Linked DNA regions of Mus musculus: all the other regions are reported to be linked to region 5. Evidence: microRNA targets listed by miRTarBase, many of them from high-throughput screens and not tested one by one. Region 5 holds a microRNA gene; each other region holds the end of a gene's coding sequence. Distances are between the middles of the regions.

The links. Region 5 holds the annotated microRNA mmu-miR-29b-3p (UAGCACCAUUUGAAAUCAGUGUU, at 2,927-2,949, shown strand). A microRNA usually pairs through its seed, bases 2 to 8, with sites in the 3' UTR of a target mRNA and lowers its output. Matches are read on the target gene's strand: a 7mer-m8 pairs with bases 2 to 8, a 7mer-A1 pairs with bases 2 to 7 and ends in A, and an 8mer does both.
Region 1: the mRNA of Bmf is a reported target of mmu-miR-29b-3p. Seed matches in the 3' UTR shown: 8mer at 2,334-2,341.
Region 2: the mRNA of Bbc3 is a reported target of mmu-miR-29b-3p. Seed matches in the 3' UTR shown: 7mer-m8 at 3,395-3,401 and 7mer-m8 at 3,310-3,316.
Region 3: miRTarBase lists Lactb2 as a target of mmu-miR-29b-3p. Seed matches in the 3' UTR shown: 7mer-m8 at 1,194-1,200.
Region 4: the mRNA of Rsad1 is a reported target of mmu-miR-29b-3p. Seed matches in the 3' UTR shown: 7mer-A1 at 3,298-3,304 and 7mer-m8 at 1,525-1,531.

Annotation. Positions count from the first base shown.
Region 1 is chr2:118,529,411-118,533,696 of GRCm38, reverse strand. Bmf (BCL2 modifying factor) reads left to right here. Exons shown (of 5, transcript NM_138313.4): 5 at 1,038-4,286. The coding sequence ends at 1,139. Among named protein-coding and RNA genes, the nearest start is that of Bmf, 18 kb to the left of the region's middle.
Region 2 is chr7:16,316,883-16,320,950 of GRCm38, reverse strand. It overlaps Bbc3 (BCL2 binding component 3), which reads right to left. Exons shown (of 4, transcript NM_133234.2): 4 at 2,617-3,833. The coding sequence ends at 3,717. It also overlaps a transcript of Sae1 not described here. Among named protein-coding and RNA genes, the nearest start is that of Bbc3, 9.3 kb to the right of the region's middle.
Region 3 is chr1:13,623,305-13,627,590 of GRCm38, reverse strand. Lactb2 (lactamase, beta 2) reads left to right here. Exons shown (of 7, transcript NM_145381.2): 6 at 154-235; 7 at 687-1,693. The coding sequence ends at 730. Among named protein-coding and RNA genes, the nearest start is that of Lactb2, 35 kb to the left of the region's middle.
Region 4 is chr11:94,539,132-94,543,417 of GRCm38, forward strand. Rsad1 (radical S-adenosyl methionine domain containing 1) reads right to left here. Exons shown (of 9, transcript NM_001013381.2): 7 at 4,163-4,217; 8 at 3,750-3,853; 9 at 667-3,516. The coding sequence ends at 3,399. Among named protein-coding and RNA genes, the nearest start is that of Rsad1, 7.9 kb to the right of the region's middle.
Region 5 is chr1:195,034,165-195,038,450 of GRCm38, forward strand. It overlaps Mir29b-2 (microRNA 29b-2), which reads left to right and starts at 2,876; the gene lies at 2,876-2,956. A330023F24Rik (RIKEN cDNA A330023F24 gene) reads left to right here. Exons shown (of 8, transcript NR_015566.2): 8 at 1-3,744. Mir29c (microRNA 29c) reads left to right here and starts at 3,383; the gene lies at 3,383-3,470.

The DNA.
Region 1 (4,286 bases), not on the chromosome of region 5:
TCTAGCCTGTGCAGGCCTTCTCTCTGCACACTAGGTTTTTATTCCCCTGTCCACTAAGGACCCCATGGAGAGGCCCCAGCCCGTCCTCCTTCCCTGACAGACAAGGAGAGAACAAAGACTGCCTCTTCCAGGGCTCCCTTGTCCCCTTCAGGCCTTTGCTGGCCTCTGGGAAATGATACCTGTGTAGACAGGACACCAGCCAGAAACCTTTGTGCTTTTGACCTCTGAACTTTGCCCCCTAGCTTCCCAGCCTAACGGTAGGACCTGGGATAACCTCCAGAGCTGGTGTGCATTCTTTGTTTTTGTTTTGTTTTCAAGTGTGTTCTTGCTTAACGTTTAATTGGCTCCAGTCAGTAGGAAAGCGCTCCAAGAGGGATTATTTATGGCTTACTGTCAAAAGCAGCTATAAAAAGGGCAGCCCGGAGCTGGGGATGCTGAAGTGGGGAGAGGGCTGGCTGCCTCACACAAGTCTGTGTGTGTGTGTGTGTGTGTGTGTGTGTGTGTGTGTGTGTGTGTGTGTGTGTGTGTGTGTGTTTGTACTGGATGAAATCAGATTTTTGCTGCCTCAGCAGTGTGGTTTAAATTGAAGATTAACCCTTTGACCTTCACAGTGTCAAATCACTTGCAGATGGAGGCTCCCCCTCCCCTTCCCTCTCTTGTTCTCTGTGTTCCTTTGGAATGGGGGAGAGGGAGGGACTTCTTGTCTTTCTCGCTCAAGCAAGATTGTTGTTCATGCAGCTAAAGTTAAGGGGGGGGTGGGTGTCAGGAGCCAATCTGATTAAAAGCAGTACTTGGCTAAACTCTGGAAAAATCCTGTAAGCAAGGGAGAAAGTCTGATCCTCCTGTGCTCAGTACACACAGCCCAGCGTGGTGTATTTAATGCCCAAGCTGCAGTTGTCTTGGGAGGTTCGTCTCTTGTCCCCCAGTTTGCTGGATGGCACAAAGGTGCCAGCCTGAGATCTGGCAGTGGGAGCCTGTTGGGGACCCAGTAAGGAGCCTGTGGCCTGACACCTAACGGTCATCTCTTTTCCTTACAGCACCAGCAGAACCGAGACCGTGCGTGGTGGCAGGTCTTCCTTTTCCTTCAAAACCTCGCCCTGAACAGACAAGAAAACAGGGAAGGGGTGGGGCCCTGGTGAGGCTGGACCGCCCTGGCCGGATGGATCACCAGGAATGCAGTCTGGGAGGACAGATACTGTCTTGTTAAGTTTTGTTATCCGTAACTTTCTATCCATGTGTACATATTACATGCCCCAGTGGGATCTTCTTTCCCCGTTCAGAACCTCCACTGAGGATGGGGGCCTTTGTCAAACACTGTTGAAGGAGAGGCAGCTGTGTCTGCTGGTAGAGTTCCTAAGGCTCTGAAGATGACCAGTTGGTGATGTTCTCCAGGAAGTGGACTGAGACTTGCTACCGGAGCTGGTTAAGTCAGGTTAGGCTCCCAGTACCATCAAACATGTCAGCCTTCCTTCGTGCCTGATGGATCATGGCTTTAACCCACCAGGACCCTGTCTGGGAGCCTCCTGGCTAAGATCAACTGTGCCTTGGCTAGCCCGATTCACGTCTGGGTTCCCACTTGGCACAGCCAGCGCCCACCGCATGGGCTCAGGGATTCTTACTCAGACGCTGTCAACTTCCGGAAGACCTCAGGGAGGGTCGGACTTCTCCAAGAACCCCTCAAAGGTGCCACAAAATGAATCAAACTTGAGAGGCTTCAAGTCTGACTCGGTCCTACATGGAAGCCCCTTGATTGGTCCCCAAGGGTGCAAACTACTGCCACCTTTGCTGGAGCCAAGTAGCCAGTCACCATGCCGTTGTACCCAGCGGCCTGTGCCTTTGTCAGCTCTGTTTTCAGAAGACCCTGCCAATGACTGGACTGGATCTGTCTGCATCCATCTCAGCAGAAGCACTTGGAGATGGGGTGGGCTTGCTGGGGGCGTGGGAACCCAGCAGCCATCCCACTGATAAGTTGGTCCCGGGGGAATCCTAGACCTCTTGGTTTCCTTGGAAACGTGTACCTCCTCCCCCTTACCCCCATTCCTTTTCTGTACCTAGCGGGATACAGGAAGAAGCTAGGACTGAGGCTTTGTCAGCTGAAAAGTGACTTTGGAAGTAACAGACAATGTTTAGACCATGGAAACTGCAGAGCTGACACATCTTGAATCTCCCTTTAGCTTTCAGCTAGGCCAGAAAGGAGAGTTCTAGAACCCAGCAGGACCTTAGCTGCCTGGGAGCTCCTTCCTTCTCTCCCCGCTGCAGTGCTCAGGGAGGGAACGAAAAGCAGCTGATCTTAGAAATTAAGTCCTAAGTGTTATGTATGTAAGGAAAGACATTGGTGCTATAATGAAGATGAGCCAAGGCTCAAAGAAAGATGGCTTCCCTAGACAAAGAAGAACACAGGATTATTCAAGGACTTTGGAGGAGAAACTCAGAGTAGACTCAAATTGAACAAGCCCAGTGACTCCCCATTCTGCAGAAGTGGGGGGGGGGGGCGGATTTCAGTACCATAAAAGGGCACCGGATCTCCTGGGTGTCCAGTTGGGCAGGTTTCTCCCTGCCAAGGCTACCGACAGAGGGGGCTCATAGAGGCTGAGGTCCAGCCTGTGCCCTGCTCTCTAGGCTGCACATCCTGATGTGGGCAGGGTCTGCCCAGAGTAAGGAATGTCTTTCCTAATTTGCACAAAGGTACTGTGTGCACTCTCAGTGGTCCTGAGGAGGACCTTAAGGCATGTGTATAAGCCTTTGTGTTTTTCTGCTCAGATGACCTGGAGATATTACCTCTTCTTGGCCACAATCATTTTTCTCAGGGTCTATACCATAGTTCGTCTGCTAAGAAAGTGGGTTTCTGTTTGCAAGGAGAGGGGACCCAAGTAATGAATATGAAGACTGGTTCTGAGGGTGGGCTTGATTATTTGTGAAGCCCAGCCTTCCTACATCCCACCCTCCCTGCAGTTTAGATGTGTGTGGGACATATGTGGTCTTCCCCTTTCCTGGATCAAGGCTATGACAGGCAGGCTTCTGGTATGTGCTTGGTACATGTGCTGCAATACATGTGCTTGATGGTACATGCGTGCCCCTCCCCATACAGAACCTTGTACTTCAGTTATCTTTAACATAACTTAGTAGACTTTCCATCTGTCCTAAGGCATGACTGTCAGCTTCAGCAACCTTGCTAGGTGCAGGCTGGGTACCCTGTGGCCTGAGAACTGAGCCCAGAGTTTGACCTGAACATTGAGCCTGGACCAGGCAGAAGCTGGTCAGAATGTACTGTCTCCATTTTGGGCCAAGCCGGGACCAAACTTACTAACTCAGGCAAGCCAGGGTGAAACTTAAACCCTCTTTTATCTTTAACCTGAATCCAGGCTGGAGTTGAAGCTCAATGATAAAGGGCTTGCCTGTCGGTCAAGAGACCCTCGGATGGATCCCAGGACTGTAAAATATAAATAAATAAAAATATGCCCCCTCTCTCCAACCTCTTGGAGGCAGCTGGCAGCCCAGCTCAAGGAGGCAAGAGGTTCCCCCTGGCTGCTTGCTTTAATTGGCCGGTGATCTCTGCCTGGTGAATTGGTTTTATAGTCTCTGAGTCCAGCCCCTGGACAACCCCTCCCCTTTGCCTCTCCAGAACTCCAGGAGCTTGGCTGTCTCTAGTGAAGAGTGGAGATTCAGATTCTGAGGGAGGGAGGGAGGGTCTGACCTGTGTGGTGACCTGTAACCAGCTGAAGGCAACAGGCTTTTGTGGTGTGCTGAGGATGGGGGGTGGGAGAAGAGCTGGAAAACTCTGTAGAAATGCCCTAGAGGAACAGAAGCCCTGTATTCAGGGGCCAAACTGCTCTACTAATTCACAATCCCCAGGAGGCATTTCTAAAAGCCAGTGAACAGATCTGGAGAGGAACATCCCCCAGTCCCGTCACTGACTCCCCCAGGGAGACTGGGGTGGTACGCAGGAGAGTGGGGGGAGGGTGGGCACTTTGCCTGGCCCTGTCTCTCTGTTTCAAAGTTTGGCTGTGCTGTTCAGTTGTCCCCAGTGGCCTTGTCTTGCTCAATCAGAGGTGGAAAAAGATCACCTCCCGGTGACCTCCTTCAGGCCCCAGGGGATGGGCTGTGTCCAGAGCTATGTGGCAGAGCTTGTTTCCAGAGCCCAGAGAGGCCCCGCTGGCCTGCCTTGCTGCCCCAGTGGCGAAACGCAAGCCCAACACTGAGCATGGCAGGGAGTGGGTGTTGGGGACAGTCTAGCCAAGGCCCCTGTCTGTCCCAAGCTTTCCAGGAACTAAGCAGTGAGGTCACTG
Region 2 (4,068 bases), not on the chromosome of region 5:
GGATTAAAGGCGTGTGCCACCATGCCCGGCAAAATTCATTTTTTGTATCTCCATGTTTTGTCCACTGTAGGTTTGTCTGGGCACCATGTGTGTCTAGTGCACAGAAAAGCCAGAAGAAGACATCAGTTCCCCTGGAGCGGATGTTATCAGCTGCCCTGCAAGTGCTGGGAACTCAACCTAAGCCTTCTCCAAAAACCAGGAGTACTGTGAAGCACCTGGCCGTCTCTCCAGTCACCAACAACAACGCTGCTTGTTAGCAAATATTTTGGTAGCAGCAACAAGAAATTGCCTAATATAAGGTCTCACCCATCCCTGGACTGCCCTTGGACTCCTGATCCTCCTGCCGCCGCCACCCCCCACCCCCCCGCCATTCCCCAAGTACTGGAATTTCAGACAGGTGTTAGCAATCTGGCCCATACAATACTTATGAAAATTAATCAGTTAAATCTTATTAAAGATATTAAAAATATTAAAGGAATCAATAGTTTTAGAGACACAGTGCTTCTGTGGATGGAGGTCAGAGGACAACTTGTAGAGAATAGTTCTCTCCTTCTATAATATGAGTCTGGGGGCTGAAGTTAGGTTCTCATGCCTGGTGGCAATTAATTAGTCTTGGCACTTCCCCCCACCCACAAAGTTTCTCTCTGTAGCCATACTCGGAGATCTGCCTGCCTCTGCCTCCTGAGTGCTGGGATTAAAGGTGTGTGCTACCACATCACACCCCAGACTTGGCACTTTTTTTTTGTTTTGTTTTGTTTTGTTTTGTTTTTGTTTTTGTTTTTGTTTTTTTGAGACAGGGTTTCCCTTATAGCCCTGGCTGTCCTGGAACTCACTTTGTAGACCAGGCTGGCCTCAAACTCAGAAATCTGCCTGCCTTTGCCTCCCAAGTGCTGGGATCAAAGGTGTACGCCACCACTGCCCGTCGACTTGGCACTTTTGAGAACTGCTGTGTGCACAGTACACTTGGACTCTTGAACACATATATGTTCTTCTCGTGGAGATGCTCAGGAGGGCAGTGGATATGGCTTCATCAGATTCCTCTCCTCTATGCCCACAGCCCTCTAGAAGATCCACTTCCCCTAAATTGCTTTTTACTGTCACTGGCCACCAGGAAGGGATATACTACATATCTGCCTCTCCCTGAAGTCATTACAAAGCTGGCACTTGAGTGGGTTCAAGGACTGCCAATTCTCAGTCAGTTAGTAGGAAAAACTCTCCTTTCTCAAAATAATGCAAAGTGGGTTCTGAGGCTGTGCTCAGCATCGAGAGCTGGCCATGTGCCTGGCCTTAGGACAATGGTGCAAGGAATGTCTAGTTCTGATCTTAGCTCCAGGTCCCTTTCCAGCCAGAGAGCAACCTGAGGCTGGTCACAGGGCCAGGCTAGACCCCATGTCATTCAGGACAGAGCTCACAATCTGTAACTCAAGCTCTTGAAACAGTGGCTTCTAAACTATAAGCTATTCGTTCGTTCGTACAGTAAATCTTAAGCTTAGTTACACTCTTCATACCTGATGAAATAAGTACACATGAAGTATTAGTCCCTGTGTGTGCTTGCTCTCAAGACTACAGCAGTGGCTGCCAGCTCTGTGTAGCTACAACTTCTGTGCCTCTTTCATCCCGCCTTCCTTTTTTCTCTTGGTATAAGTAACTGAACCCAGGACTTTGTGCTCAGTTGAGCCACACCTCCATATCCTACTAGGCAGGGGCTCTACCACTGAGCAATGCTCCCAGTCTTTCTACTGTTTTTTTGTTTGTTTGTTTGTTTGTTTGAGACAGGGTTTCTCTGTGTAGCCCTGGCTGTCCTGGAACTCACTCTGTAGACCAGGCTGGCCTCAAACTCATAGATCCACCTGCCTCTGCCTCCCAAGTGCTGGGATTAAAGGTGTGTGTTACCACGCCCGGCTTTATTTTTAAATTAATTGTATATGAAGTTTGTATCTATATGAAAGCCTGCAGGCCAGAAGAGGGCATTGGATAACATTATACATAGTTGTGAGCCACCATGTGGTAGCTGGGAATTGAACTCAGGACCTCTGGAAGAACGGCTGGTGCTCTTCACAGTTGAGCCACCTCCCTGGCACATTTACCTATTTTATGTGCATATGTGTTTTTGGGGTTTTGGGTTTCCTTGTCCGCATGGAATGGGCCCTGTGCACATGCCTGGTACCCGCAGGCCAGGAGGTATCAGATCTGGAACTTGAGTTACAGAGTGTGAGCTGCAGCATGGGTGCTGGGACCTAAATGCAGATCCTCTTGAAGAACAGCCCATACTTCTACCTGCTGAGCCAGCGCTCCGCCTGTCCCCTCCACCTGTCCCCTCCCCATTGCTGAGACTGGGTCTCAGTTGCTCAGGCCTTCCAACTAGCTACGACAGGCCTGTGCCACCAGACCAGCCTCTAGCTTACCTTTTAGTATGACTGCCCCTTAAGAGTCCAAAAGTTCCAGTTTCTTTCTTTCTTTCTCTTTTTTACATTTATTTATTGTTATATGTAAGTACACTGTAGCTGCCTTCAGACACTCCAGAAGAGGGTGTCTGATCTCATTATGATGGTTGTGAGCCACCATGTGGTTGCTGGGATTTGAACTCAGGACCTCTGGAAGAGCAGTCAGTGCTCTTAACCACTGAGCCATTTCTCACACACACACACACACACACACACACACATACACACACACACCGTTTCTTTCATGTCCTTACAGGTAGTGCCAGATGCTCTGTCACTGGTAAAGCTAACAAAAAGAGTGTTCACTGTTCAATCTGATTTTATTGAAAAGGAAACATACAAAAATCATGTACAAAAAAAATTAACCAAACATGTACAGAAAATTCATTCCAGTATATCTACAGCAGTGCATGTACAGTATCTTACAGGCTGGGCCGTCCCTCCCCGCTCCCAGACTCCTCCCTCTTCTGAGACTTCCCCCCTCCCTGACTCCCCATCTTCCTCCCCAGCGCTTTGCCCTGGGGACTAAGGCTGGGGTGGCTTCCGCCAATATCTCCCACCCCCCAAATGAATGCCAGTGGTCACACGTGCTCTCTCTAAACCTATGCAATGAGATGGATGGGGATTGGGGGGGGGGGGGTGGTCCCGGGCAGAGCACAGGATTCACAGTCTGGACCCCTCCTGGACACCCCCAGATGAAGGTGAGGCAGGCATCGTTCACCGCCCGCCGGCGGCTCAGGGAAGATGGCTGGGCACTGGGTTAAGAAGGCCTTCACACGCCCCCCATTCTCTGGCTCCAGGAGGCTAGTGGTCAGGTTTGGCTCATATGCTCTTCACAGACCCCCTCCTCAGGAGGAGGGGGGGAAGCACCAGGGGCCTGAGGCCAGGCCCAAAGTGAAGGCGCACTGGGGACACCCCCAGCGTCCCCCCTGCAGCTGGAACGGGCAGCCAGCACCAGCAGCCTTTCCTGAGATGGTGGTGGGCGGCAGAGGCGGGCGGCTCGGTCCCCACCCCCTCAGTCACCATGAGTCCTTCAGCCCTCCCTTCCCTGGCTTTCGGGAGGCCAGGGTCCCCCCAAGTCCGTATCTCCATCAGTGCACCCAGGCTGCCCGGGCTCGAGTGGCATCCCTTGCCTGCCCCTGGGACGGGCAAGGCTGGCAGTCCAGTATGCTACATGGTGCAGAAAAAGTCCCCCGCGCTGGCCAGGGTGTCAGAAGGCGGAGGGGGTCCTGCCCCCCAAGTCTCCGACGTCCCCCGGGCGGGTGTAGGCACCTAGTTGGGCTCCATTTCTGGGGCTCCAGGATCCCTGGGTAAGGGGAGGAGTCCCATGAAGAGATTGTACATGACCCTCCAGGGTGAGGGTCGGTGTCGATGCTGCTCTTCTTGTCTCTGGGGAGAGGAGGAAGTAGGAATTAGCTTGGACCCGCAGACAGTGGGTTAGTGAGCAAAAGGTGTGGGTTCGAGATCGGTCCCAAAACTGAGCGCAACCCTCTTACCAGCCATTTTTCAGCCCCTCACTCACCAGGGCACACTCTCCCAACCTAGGTGGGAAGGGGCTGGGGCAGAATTCCCATAGCATAGAGCCTAGCACACACACCCTACGAATCACAAGGGCTCTAAGGGG
Region 3 (4,286 bases), 180 Mb from region 5:
GTGCTGCTCGCCCACTCCATGTGTGCTGCTCACCCACTTCATGTGTGCTGGAGGGGAACTTGGGTGTTGTGTGTGGTAGGAAAGCTGGAAAAGGCTCTAAACAATTAAGTATTCTTTAAAAATGGGACTCCTTTTATCCTGTTTTTCTTTCAGGATGTTCCAGAGAATTTACATAAGATGGCAGAGCATAATCTCTTGCTTCATTTGAGAAAACTAGAGAAAGATGGGAAGATATGTATGTATCCTTCTGAATATTAATGCCTTTTCTCCTGGCACTTAAACAGTTTTGCAGGAGCTCACCTGAAGTCTCCCTAAGTCTCCCATTCAGTGAAGTAGGTCCAAGTCCTCTGCCATAGAGACACACAGTGCCTGGGGGGACCAAGGGTACTGGCATGTGGAGAACAGGCACAGCTTTTAAGTGAAGTCAGAGATGGTAAAGTGGGAGTTCTGTAACTTTTTCCTGCTGATAGATGAGCTTGTCAAATCAGGCATTGTTATAAAAGTCTAGTCCTTAAAATCAAGAAGTGAGCCCAAGGTTGAATTTTGTGTAGAAGCCTCAGCCATATTGCTTACCTAGTCATCAACAAGATTCGCCTAAGGAAGGTGCACTTTTCCTTACTATAAAAAAATGTGGAATCCAGTGATGTACTTATCTCTTGTTTTTACTTTCTGTTTTTTTTTTCTAGTCTACACAACAACTCCTGTCAAGAAATGGAAAGCCGTCCTTTAGTTACAGATCAGTGAAGTTCTGTCTTGTTTTGCTTTTAGAAGATGGTATTTTCTTTTAGCTATAGATTATATATTTATAGAAAATATTAAATGCACAACTTTGAAAATAACCCTTGATACTTGTAATCCGTGATAATTGTAAAATATGTAAATTACATTTTATATCTGGAGGACAGGTTACTGATCTAACCTTGGTCTTGGAAGGTTTTACCAGAAATTCAGAATCTAGCACTTTTTCAATTTTCTATGGATTAAGTAAAGTGGTTATTAAGAATAATAGATTTTGAACAATTCAAACCAGTTAATACTTTAGAGTTTGATTGTTAGGGTTTCTATTGCTGTAAAAAACAAAAATGACTAAGGCAGCTCTTATAAAGGAAGACATTTAATTAGGGCTGGCTTACAGTTCAGAGATTCAGTCCAGTATCATCATGGTGGGAAGTATGGCAGCCTGCAGACAGACATGGTGCTGGAAAAGGAGCTGAGAGTTCTACATCTTGATCTGAAGGCAGCCAGAACAAGACTGTCTTCTGCAGGCAGCCTGGAGGAGGCTCTCCCAAGCCCACAGCGACACACTTCCTCCAACAAGGCCATACCTCCTAATAGTGCCACTCCCTATGGGCCAAGCATTCAAACACATGAGTCTATGGGGGCCGTTTCTATTCAAACCACCACAGTTATTTGTTAGCATTTGCCAGTAATACTGCTTTCTTTAGCTACTTCAATCAACAGCACACATATCTGCATACGCATTCCTTTTCTTCAGCCCTGTCAATGCCTTTTACATACCAAGTTTATTTCACTTTTCTATCAATTATATCATTTAAGTATTGTTTCTACAGTTCTATGCTATGTTTATTTTCTTGTAACGGTATCCCATAAGCAATTCATAAGTTGATCATTAACAAATACTAAATATACTAATTTAAAATATTATGTGATTAATAATAAGTAATTCTTAAAATTTTATTTTATGTGTATGAATATTTTGCCTACATGAGTATCTGTGCACTCCATGTGTGCAGTGTGCACAGAGGCCAGAAGGGGCACTGGATTCCCTGGAACTGCAGTTACAGGTGTTAGTCACCATGTGTGTCCACAGAATCAAACTGGGTCCTCTAGAAGAACAGCCATTGCTCAGAACTGCTGAGCCATCTCATCTCTCCAGCCCACGACAGCATGCTTTGCAATTTTAGATTTTAGTATAGAAATGGCCATCCGTTTATATATGAATTATATACTAGAAAGTGTTTTCTTTTAATTAGAAGATGGCAAGATAGTCTTTTAAATATATAAATAACATTCTCAAATAATGGTTAGAATAGTGGTACTGCATAGTAATTTCCTCCAAATTAAAACATTCCGTCCTGGAGGGAGACTCCTAAGACTCGGGAAGTAAATGAAACTTAATGGGGCTCAGGAAATAAATAACTCACAAGTCTTAAAAAGTTTCTGAAACTTAAATAATTCAGCAGGTCCCTCCCCAAGGTTATCTCGGCAATACTGATTGCTGGAGAGAAGAGACTTTAGCCTCCTGAGCTGTCTACAGGTAATAGAGGAGAGCTCCAGGAAGATGCCTTTCCTGAGGCAACACCTCCCCACCCCACCCCACCCGCTGAAGTGGGCTTTTCAGTGATGCATTTTTATGCAAGCTAAACACATTTTTTTCTTGTTCCATGTAAATATGTCATATACCCAGAAGTGTTCCATACTACAAAATAACTAAAAACTCAAGAATTAAAAGCCAGTGACCCAGATAACTCACAAATGGACAACAAATGTTTCTCCAAAGAAGATGCCTAAGAGAAAAACTGTTTCTCGGGCTAGAGAGATGGCTCCGCGGTTGAGAGCAATGACTGCTCTTCCAGAGGTCCTGAGTTCAATTTCCAGCAACCACATGGTGGCTCACAACCATCTGTAATGGGATCTGATGCCCTCTTCTGGTGTGTCTGAAGAGAGCAACAATGGATTCACATACATAAATTAAATAAATAATCTTTAAAAACAAAAAAAAAAACTGTTTCTCATCTTTAACCAATACAAAGCCAAACACAAATTGGAACAGGTTCCAGCTTCCTGCCCATTTGGATAACTGTTTTGTTGTTTTGTTTTGTTTTTTTTTTGTTTTTTCTGAAAATAAAAAGAGCAGCCACTGAGGTACAAAGAAACTGGGACCTTTACAATCAGTTGATAGAGCAGCTTCTGAAAGATAAAACAAACTCACAGTATGTCTGAGCAGTTCAGCTTCTGAGAACCATTCCCAAAGCCTGACTTAAGCAGGTATCTACAGGGCTGAAAGAAAAACACCTTAAAAACAGAGATGCCTGACAGATGTTGCATGGTGCATGAATTCCAAAGACACAGTGCTACATGAGATAAGACACCAAAGGCAAACATCAGGATTCCACTTACATGAAGCAGGAAAGTGTATAGAAGGAAAGAATTGTGAATGATTTGGAGGAAAAGGGACAGACTTACTCAAGTTTCAGTAAGAGTGTAAAAAGTTCTGGGCATGAATGGTGACACTGACCACAAAAACACTGTAAACCTGAAAGCATAGTCAGTGCCAAGTGGTGTCCCTAAAGTGATCAGTAATAACTGCCTTCCACAGTGCCACCACCAAAAACTAAAAAATGGTGACACATCAATAAAATTTATAGAATTTAGTTTCATTGGTAAATGAATAGATTAGCTTACCTCTTAGCTGCTCTTTCCCAGAGGGTTGAATACAAACACCATTCAGTTGATCAAATTAGAAAATTTTAAAGAAAAAATCCTTCTTGGTTTGTGTGCATCCCACATGTCCAAGTGGTCCCTATTCTACCTCCAGAGTTCATTACCCCTAGCCAGTCTTAGTCCTAGCCATCATCATCCCTTCTGAACCAGTGAAATGCCTGTTACCTCTTGTTGGGGAAGAAGATGAAAAGGACATTTTGAGCTAAAAATCTGTGAAAAGCCAGGTGGTGGCAGCACACGCCTTTAATCCCAGCACTCAGAGGCTGAGGCAGGCGGATCTCTTGAGTTAGAGGCCTGGTCAACAGAGCAAATTTCAGGACTTGAAACTTGAAAAAAAAAATTTTTTTTAATAAAAAGCCATGCAGTCGTCACATTGCCACAGCATACTTCAGATAGTGCACATTGCAAGTAGATCTTCTCAAAGGGGAAGGATGGGGAACTACTAAATCTATTAGTCATTTTAAAAGCCTAGCAACAGAGCTATAAAAGCTGTGACATCTATTAAATGCTTTTTACTGGGGACTGTGCCAGATACTGCAGCAACAAAGGTGAGCAAAACAACATCAGGGCTTGATCGAGCTCTTGTCCTTGTTATCAAGATGAGATATATATAGTTATGTTTGTTGAGAGTAAAGAAGAATGTGTAAGCCGGTGGTCTATAATAGGCTGCTGACAGAAACGTGAGCTCAGTCTTACAAAGAAAGTGGTAGCCAGAAGGAAATGCAGTATTTGTTTAAATGAGGAAAATTATTCCCATTGGAATAAACTGTATCTGTGTTCCTAAACAGAGAAAATCATCCTGTGTGTGAACTAATTTCTAT
Region 4 (4,286 bases), not on the chromosome of region 5:
AGCTGCTCTAAGCCTAGACTCACCAGGGCTCTAGGGGTACAAGATTTGATAAGACAAACACCTTTCGCCTTCTTTCTTCCTCTCAGCCCCTCAAAACCCAGTGCCCTCCAGGCTCCCATAGCTGTCTGAAACACCTTAACCAGCAACGCTTTATCTCTGAACATCTGTCACCGCAGCATCAAGCTCCCTGAGAGCACAGACAGGTCTTATTCCTCTGTTCATGCCCAGTACGGTGCCTGGCAGACCACTGGTGCTAGGTGAGTAGTTCATGAATAAAGTAACAGTTACCACGTTACCACAGGGTCAAAGAAGGACTGGCATTCACACCCACCGGCACATGGGAAATACACGTGCTTACTCCTAAGCAGTGTGGGGGATCCCCTGGCCTTTCATCATCCACTAGAAGTCAGCATGCTTCCACCTGCAGGGTTACTAAATCACTTCTGGCACCGTGGTACCCTTTGCCACGATAAGGAATTAGTTAAGGAGCTTTAGGCTGAGAACGTAGCTCAGTGACAGGTCCTGAGTTCCAGCCCTAGCACAATGAAACAAACCACACACACACACACACACACACACACACACACACGCATGCATGGCATGGCATACAATTTCCAAGTCAAGAATGAAAGGTTGGAAGTGCCTCAAGGAGGAGCTACGCAGGTCTGTCTTTTGGGGTAAGAGATTTATTAAGAGAATTATCAGTACCACAGACACACAGGCACAGCGGCACAGTGTACAGTAGCGGGAACATTCAAGCCCCAGTGTCATAGACACACAGACAACATGGTAGGGTTCTGAAGAGGATCCAAGTTCCCCAGGGTAGAGTGGGGGGCCCCTTCCTATAGATCTCAGTAGAAGGGGGAGGTTTCACATCACCAGACTGTCTCTGATTCCCCTGCAGGCGGCAGGGGAGAAGAAAAAAGGTCTTGCGTTATCAGGAAGAAATATGTCCCTCTGAAGAGCAAGGACACATCTAGTTGAGACATACCCATTATGGCAGCGCCCCCCCCCCCCCCCCCGTCCAGGGAGTCTGACAACCTAAGGTCTATTCGATGGGATGAGCCTGTTACAGGGTTAGGAATTTACAGGTTTGAGATTCCTACCATAGAAGGAGGTTGTCTGGCTTGAACAAGGCCATAGGTCTGATTCTTAACATTGTAACAATAACAGAGGAAAGTTCTTTTTTATGGGGAAAATGGAAAATAATTAATTTGGAAGGAATAATAGAATCAGAAACCAATACTTTGCAATCCTCAATTTAAGAAATGATTTGGCTAGGCTGGAGAGATGGCTCAGCAGATAAGAGCACAGGGTGCTCTTCCATAGGTCCTGAGTTCAATTCCCAGCAACCACATGGTTGCTCACAACCATTTATATATAATCTGATGTCCTCTTCTGTCATGCAGGCATATATACAAATAGAGCACTCATATACATAAAATACCTAAGTTTGAGGCTGGAGAGATGGCTCAGTGGTTAAGAGCACTGTCTGCTCTTCCAGAGGTCCTGAGTTCAATTCCCAGCACCAATGTAATGGCCCATAACCATCTATAGTGTGATCTGAGGTCCTCTTCTGGCATACAGGTGTACATGCAGATAGAGCAATTGTAGACATAAGTAAATGTTTAAAAATACAAATGTAAATTTTAAAAGTAATTTGGGAAAGAATCACTAGTAGGTGCTAAAGTCACTGGTCAAATGATTATCAGGCGATGGGACATTTGGTCTCATGGTCTCAAGCCAAGATAATGAACTCCTTAATTTCAAAGGAAAGATGCAGCTGTGCACTATTACCCTCGGGGCTGGAGAGATGGCTCAACAGTTAAGGGCACTTATTTGATCTGGCAGAGGACCCACATTCAATAACCAGCACCCACATTGTGGCTCACAACCATCCGCAAGCCCAGTTCCAGGGGATCCAACAGGCACACGCATGGTGTGCACATTCAAAGGCATGCACACAAAATACTTAAATAGTAAGAAAGATAAATCTAAATTAAAAAAATAATAATACTGAACCTGATAGGGTTGGGGATTTAGATAGTGGTGTTTGCCTCAGCGCATGAAGTCCAGAACCACAGAAAAATGGGTGTGGTGGTGCATGCCCGTGATCTCAGCACTCGGGAGGCAGAAGCAGGGGGTCCGATGCTAAACACTGTCCTCAGCCACACAGTGAGTTTGCAGTGTCGGGTACATATGGCACTGTCTCAGGGGGAAAAAAAACCCCACAATCTTTTACATTCAAAATAGAAGCTGGAGAAATAGCTTAGCAGGAGAGAGTGCTCCCTGCTCTTCCAGAGGACCAGAGTGTGGTGCTCAGAAAAGATGGCTCACATTCATTCCTCTGTAACTCTGTCTCCAGAAGATACAACACTCTACTCTGGCCTCCATGGCTGCACGCACACACGCGCGCGCGCGCGCGCGCGCGCGCACACACACACACACACACACTTTAATAAAATGTGGGCAGTATTGGTGCAAGCCTTTAATCCCTACATTCGGAAGGCAAAGAAAGGCAAGCAGATCTCTGAGTTCTAGACAAGCCTGGTCTACAGTGTGAGCTCCAGGACCAAGGCCACACAGAGAGACCCCATCTTGAAAATCCAAATAAATAATAAAAATGAAAATAATGTTTAAAACTTTGAACCTGAATTCAACCCTTAGGAAATAATGAGACATACATAGAGTATAGGTTACATTTCTGTACAACAAGTGGCCTTGGATAAAAATATTTTTTTTAGATTTATTTCTTTTTATTTTATGCATATGAGTGTTTTGCCTAGATGAATATCTATGCACCACACAGGTGTCTGGTACACGAAGAGGTGAAAAGAAGGTGCCGGATCCCCTGGAATGAGAGTTACTGATGGTTGTGAGCTGCCACATGGCTGCTGGGACTTGAACCCTGGTTCTCTAGAAGAGCAAACCACCAAGCCATCTCTCCAGCCCTTCAAATGGTTTTGTAAACATCTTGTTCCTATATTTCTTCTGTGTAAGGTACCTGGAGGGGATTTAGTTCTACTGAACCATACAAGCTAGGGCTTCTCTCTAGAATGAGGCTTCTCTGATAGATACAATTCCCTGTAGAAAGATTTTGTGTTATTTGGTGTCCAAAAAAGTCAACAAAAGCCAGTGGCGGGGGGTGGGAGTGGGGTGGTGAGGACATCCTAGGCAGGGAACACTTGCTGACCTGTGACTCCTGGGATGCTGTGAGGGATACCAGTCCCCAGAACAGAGGCAGCCGTCCATCCAACTGACCACATCCATTCCCATGGGGGTGTCAGAGCCAAGCAATAGCACCTCAGAGCAGAGATGGCACCTACCGGCAGATGCCCACCATCTGGCCCAGCCCTCTAAGTCCAACTGGTGCTTCCTCATGATACAAGGATGTCTGGTCATCCTCCTGACACGGGTGAGGAAGGCCTGTGCTGCCAGGCCTCTTGGAGTTGAGGTAGGAGGGTCAATAACAGGGAGTCCAGCACAGCTAGGCCCTCCCAGGAACACCGGAGACCCCTGGAAAACCGAGAGGTCTGGATATGACTCTAACTTTACCATAAAGGCCCATTCCTGCCCACCCCTGGCAGCCCATGCCCTCCTCTATTGGTCTTTCTTGTTTCTACCACTCTGAAAAGGAGGGGAACATTTAGTTGTGACACACTCATTATGGCAGTCCTCCCACGCCCCAATCTGTAGTCAAGAGCTCCCAGGGTCTGTGAAGCCCCCTCCGCACAATATTCCCAACATACCTGTAATCCAGCAGCAGCAGACCCTGAGCTAGCAGCTCCTCCACCTCCTTGCTTGCTCCAAACACGTCCCACAGGGTCAGCTGGGGCTCAAACTGCTGCCAGTGCTAGGAATCAGAAGTCAGTGCAATGAGCTGGCCGACACACACACACACACACACACACACACACATACACACACACACACACACACTTGGATTTAATGTGAATAATAGCTCAGTGGTAGAGCACCTGCCCAGCACAGAGCTCTACGTGCAATCTTTAACTGGCATACAGCACTACCCACTGCCTCTGTCACCAGACTTCAGTTGGCCAGGTCCAGCTTCTAGTTGCCAACCTAGAGGATGGAGGGAGTAGGGCCTGGGAAGTGACCCTAGGAGGTGCTAATAATATCTGAGATCCCCCCAGTCCCTTACCTGGTGAGTGACTCCAACATCAGTACGCAGCCCCATAGCCAAAACCTCCTCTAGCCTGGAAGAAAAATCACCACGGGACCTTAGAGATGAGACCTCACATTCTTTAAAACGCAATGCTGGGATG
Region 5 (4,286 bases):
AGAGAGAAGCTATTGCCTGGCTGGAACCTTCCCACATTCTGCATGTGAGCACATCGAACAGCACAGGCTGGGCCAGCAGGGTGAGGTTCCTGGGGCAAGTATTTTTCTCCTCTAACCCATATTCTTCCCACATTTTAGGGATTTCTGTTCTGGGCCCAGGGTATTTAGGACTCTAAAAACCATTGCATCAGCCATAGACTAAAGTATACGTAGTCTTTTTCTTCTTTGCTTTTAACCAGTGGCCCATGAAAAGTGTTCAACCTTTATTTGTACTGTTTGGCTTTCATGGGTTGGGTTTTCTATGTGTTAATTTTATATCTAGACAGAATATGACTTTTCAAGATTACTGTACCTCTCTTGCATGCTGTTGTTGTCTCTGGCTGTGTGTATACGTGTGTTCTGACCAGTTTTCCCTAGCTTGTCTTTACAGATGAAGACACTGAAGCCATTCAAGACTATGGCAGGGCCCTGTTCTCAGCATATAGACAAGCAGGTGTTCTAATTTACCAAGGAGTGACATTGCCTCTCCCTGTCTGCCCCTGCCTTACCAAAGGAGTGACCTGTCATGGGAGGGTAGAATGGCTTCCAGAGAGAAATAAGTATAGGAACAGATGGAGGCTGAAGAGTGGCGTCTCAGACTTCTTACCTGCTCTGTGGCCTGTTCAGAACTGAAAAGTGAGGCAGGGTTTCTTTTCTAGACAACTCTATTAAGCCCAGTAGCATAAAGTTTACTTGAAGCCACTCAGTTGAGAAGGGAGATCCCATTATTCTCACTGAGAGCAGAGCCCTAACAGCCCTAAGGTTTTCAAGGGCTGCCCTCTTAGACATTCAGGTAACTCTCAGGCCTGGTGCCAGAGAGCTACAGTCTTCCGGAGTTTATCAAATCATCCAGCTATTCCAAAGTAGTGAAGGATCACCACCTTGTTTCAGAAAAGGGACACTGCTCAGCTGACTACAGAAATCCTGCTTTTATAGGATGCTGAAGACTGAGTGGGATTGGATGAACATAAGGTTTAAATGCTAGGACTACTTTCCCTCCTCTGTAGTTCACTGCTTAAATTATCTTTCAGTGATTCTTATTTACAGAAAACAGGGTTTGCAGTCCATGGATGTAATCCTAGTCCTTCACTGGTAGTTTCCCCTTGCCAGGCCCTTTATTTGCTGGATAGGAAGAAAGGAATTAGCTTCATGGCATGCTGAGGACCAAAAGAAACAGGTGTTTTCTAAATGATAGCAAACTGGAATAGCCTGAGGGAAAGCTTTCTAGAGCTGAGATGGCTGACAGAGGAGGTGGAGGATTGATAAAAGGAGATGCCAGCACAAGCAGAACCTTCTGGGAGGAAAGGTGTGCCCTGGATCCCTGCAGGATCTCTCTCCTTAGCATAGAGGGAGGGGATTGGGGGATGGTAGAGGAAGTTGCTAAGAAAATTAGGCTGAAATGGAAATCAGAAGAGTTGAATATTATCATATGCAAATCTCACCTTCCCCTTCATTTACAGGATTTTGACCCTTGTTAATAACTGCCATCTAATCTATTTATGACCTAAAGCCCTCCCTATCATGGGTTAGAGTTCCTAACCCTCAGGCTCTAATTTTGCCAACCAATGTCAGTGTCACTCAGAAACCCAGTGTATAGATCTTCCAGCACTCATCTGCAGCTAAGGCCCTGGAAAGCCCCAGGGAGGCTGCTGGGCCTTCTGTTTCTCCTCTGGCTGGCCCAGTTTCTGAGAAGTCAGTGTCAGCATTGCTAGGCTTCATTGCTATCATCTTCTCTATTGCTGGAAAGAATAAAGGGGCACCAATGAGGCAAAAGAACAAAAGCAGGTCCTCCTAGACTACTTGACCTCTTGCAGTACCAACGATGTGTTCTCATCTTCACCCAGGGATAGCATGTTTACAGTGAGTCTCCCATCCAGATTGTCTGAGCTAAATCCCCCTCCCCAGTCTAGCTCTGAGTTCAGTTCAAGAGAAAAGAGGTCACAGTCAAGCTGTGGATCAAGCAGCAACAGTGGGCAGAGGGAAAGGAATATAGACATTAGCTCATCGTATCCTGTGACTACAGTTTCTTGTGCAGACATCGGAATAATAACCTACTTCACTGGAATCTTGGAACAATTGAATATTGTGACTCTGGGGATACTCACATTATATTTGCTCTATTACCCCAAAACAGCCAGGAGCCATAAAAAAATATGCTTGTATCTGGAAGCCAAAAAGTTTTTCTGGGGAACCTGAAAAATACAGCTCTACTCTTTGTCTCCTTTCAAAGATGACAGTTGTGACATCAGAGGAAATATACAGCAAAAATGCAGTACAATGTGAAACATAGCTTGTGAATCTTATTTTTAGGTACATTTTTAAAACATACCTTGTTTTGTGTTAGAGGGTTATCTGTATAATACAGTGTTAAGATACCAGCTTTTAAAAAGACATTAGGGGTTAAATCAAATTGCTAGCCTACAGGGTCATGGGATAGAGAGCAGGAAGGAACATACTCTTTTTGAATAATACTTGTGGAAGAGTTGTCCTGGCACAGGTGACTTACTTGGGTTCAGTTGTTAACATCTCATAGGTCATTGTCATTGTCTTGAACAAGTGACATATCTACCGACACTATGCATCTTGGGAAATTACATAAATTCAAGACATTACAAATGTACATATGTTGAATGGATTTGGTTCTTTTATTTCATTGTGTATGATGATTTCTAATGACTAATGTGAAGTCACACAGGAAACAAGCTTTGCATTGTTTTTGTCTGCTCAAAGTGTTGGCTGTATGGCTGTCATCTGCGTCTGACAGGCAAAATGATTCTCAGGGCTGAGGCTGGTTCTTCTGACTGCACATCTCTGCTTTCTTCAGTGAGATCCTCTTCTTCTGGAAGCTGGTTTCACATGGTGGCTTAGATTTTTCCATCTTTGTATCTAGCACCATTTGAAATCAGTGTTTTAGGAGTAAGAATTGCAGCACAGCAGAGGGTAGACTACAGAGGAACAGCTGTACACAGAACTGGCTCTCTCCTTCGAGAAATCAAGGGAAGACTTGAATAGTGACATTTGCTCTTGAGTCTGTTTGGTTTAGAGGCAGTGATAGTGAGAAAGTTTTTGTGTTCAGAATGTATAAGGGTATAATCAGGAAGTGGTCTACTTTATTCAGCATTCCATGGGTGGAAGAGGGTTCCTTGGGCCTGCACTGTTCATTAATTGTAGCAAGGAAGGGGTAAGAGCTCTGTATGTGGAGGACTGCTTCATTCACATCAGTATGGCTCGTCTGAACCTGGAAGATCCATGGAGCACTCATTCAGTCCTGGTTGCAGCACAGCTGAAATCAGACTGTCACCTGCCTTGAGATTCAGACCTGAAGAACACCACCAGTCGGTCCATCTCTTACACAGGCTGACCGATTTCTCCTGGTGTTCAGAGTCTGTTTTTGTCTAGCACCATTTGAAATCGGTTATGATGTAGGGGGAAGAGCACCAGCCTCAGAACCTTGTGGTGTCAGCATCAGCATCAGCCTATCACTTCCTACGTGGGCAGAGTGGAAAAGGAAGATCACAGTTTCCTAACTTCTTTAATTCGTATGTATGTGGCTGCCAAGGTTAGAGATCACTTAGTGGGGGGTTTTAATTGTTATAATTTATTGTTGTAAAATATTCTCAGTTACAATTTCTGACATGTAGTACTGTTATAAACTAAGTACTGTTAAACGTTGGCTTTAATAAATAATTTGCTACATTCAATCTATCATGTCTGTTTTATCTACTATTTTTCATTCATAATTCTATGGCAATGAGAAGTGGTCCCTGGAAAGTTAATTTGCTGTGCCAATCATAAGGAATTGGAAGTAGGTTGCTGCATGCAGACATTAAAAATGAAGGTCATTAAGACAGGAATGAAATTCTAAAGATGAAAGATTAGCAGAGACAGAAGGTTGGAGCTCTAGGCTGAGGGATGTTACTAAATGGGAAGACTATTCTTGGTTCCAAGGGAACTGTGGACTCTGACCCTCCTCCTGTCAGTTGCTGCAGGGAACTTACTTAACTGCACTGTCATGTGGCCCTTAAAGGGGAGCAGGCTAATTTCAGTTGTATTTGTAGCAGAGGGAGTTCTACTTTCCACTGATAGTTTATTTCAACCCTTCAGTAGGCGGTGAAAAAGTTCTATAAAACTGTTCAGAGATTTGCCAGCATTGGGGGTGGTGGAGGGGCAGGGTTCATGATTGGGGAACTTTCAGGAAGAAAGCAGGTGGCCCCTTCCATAGGAGTTGCATAGCTAACTATGAACTA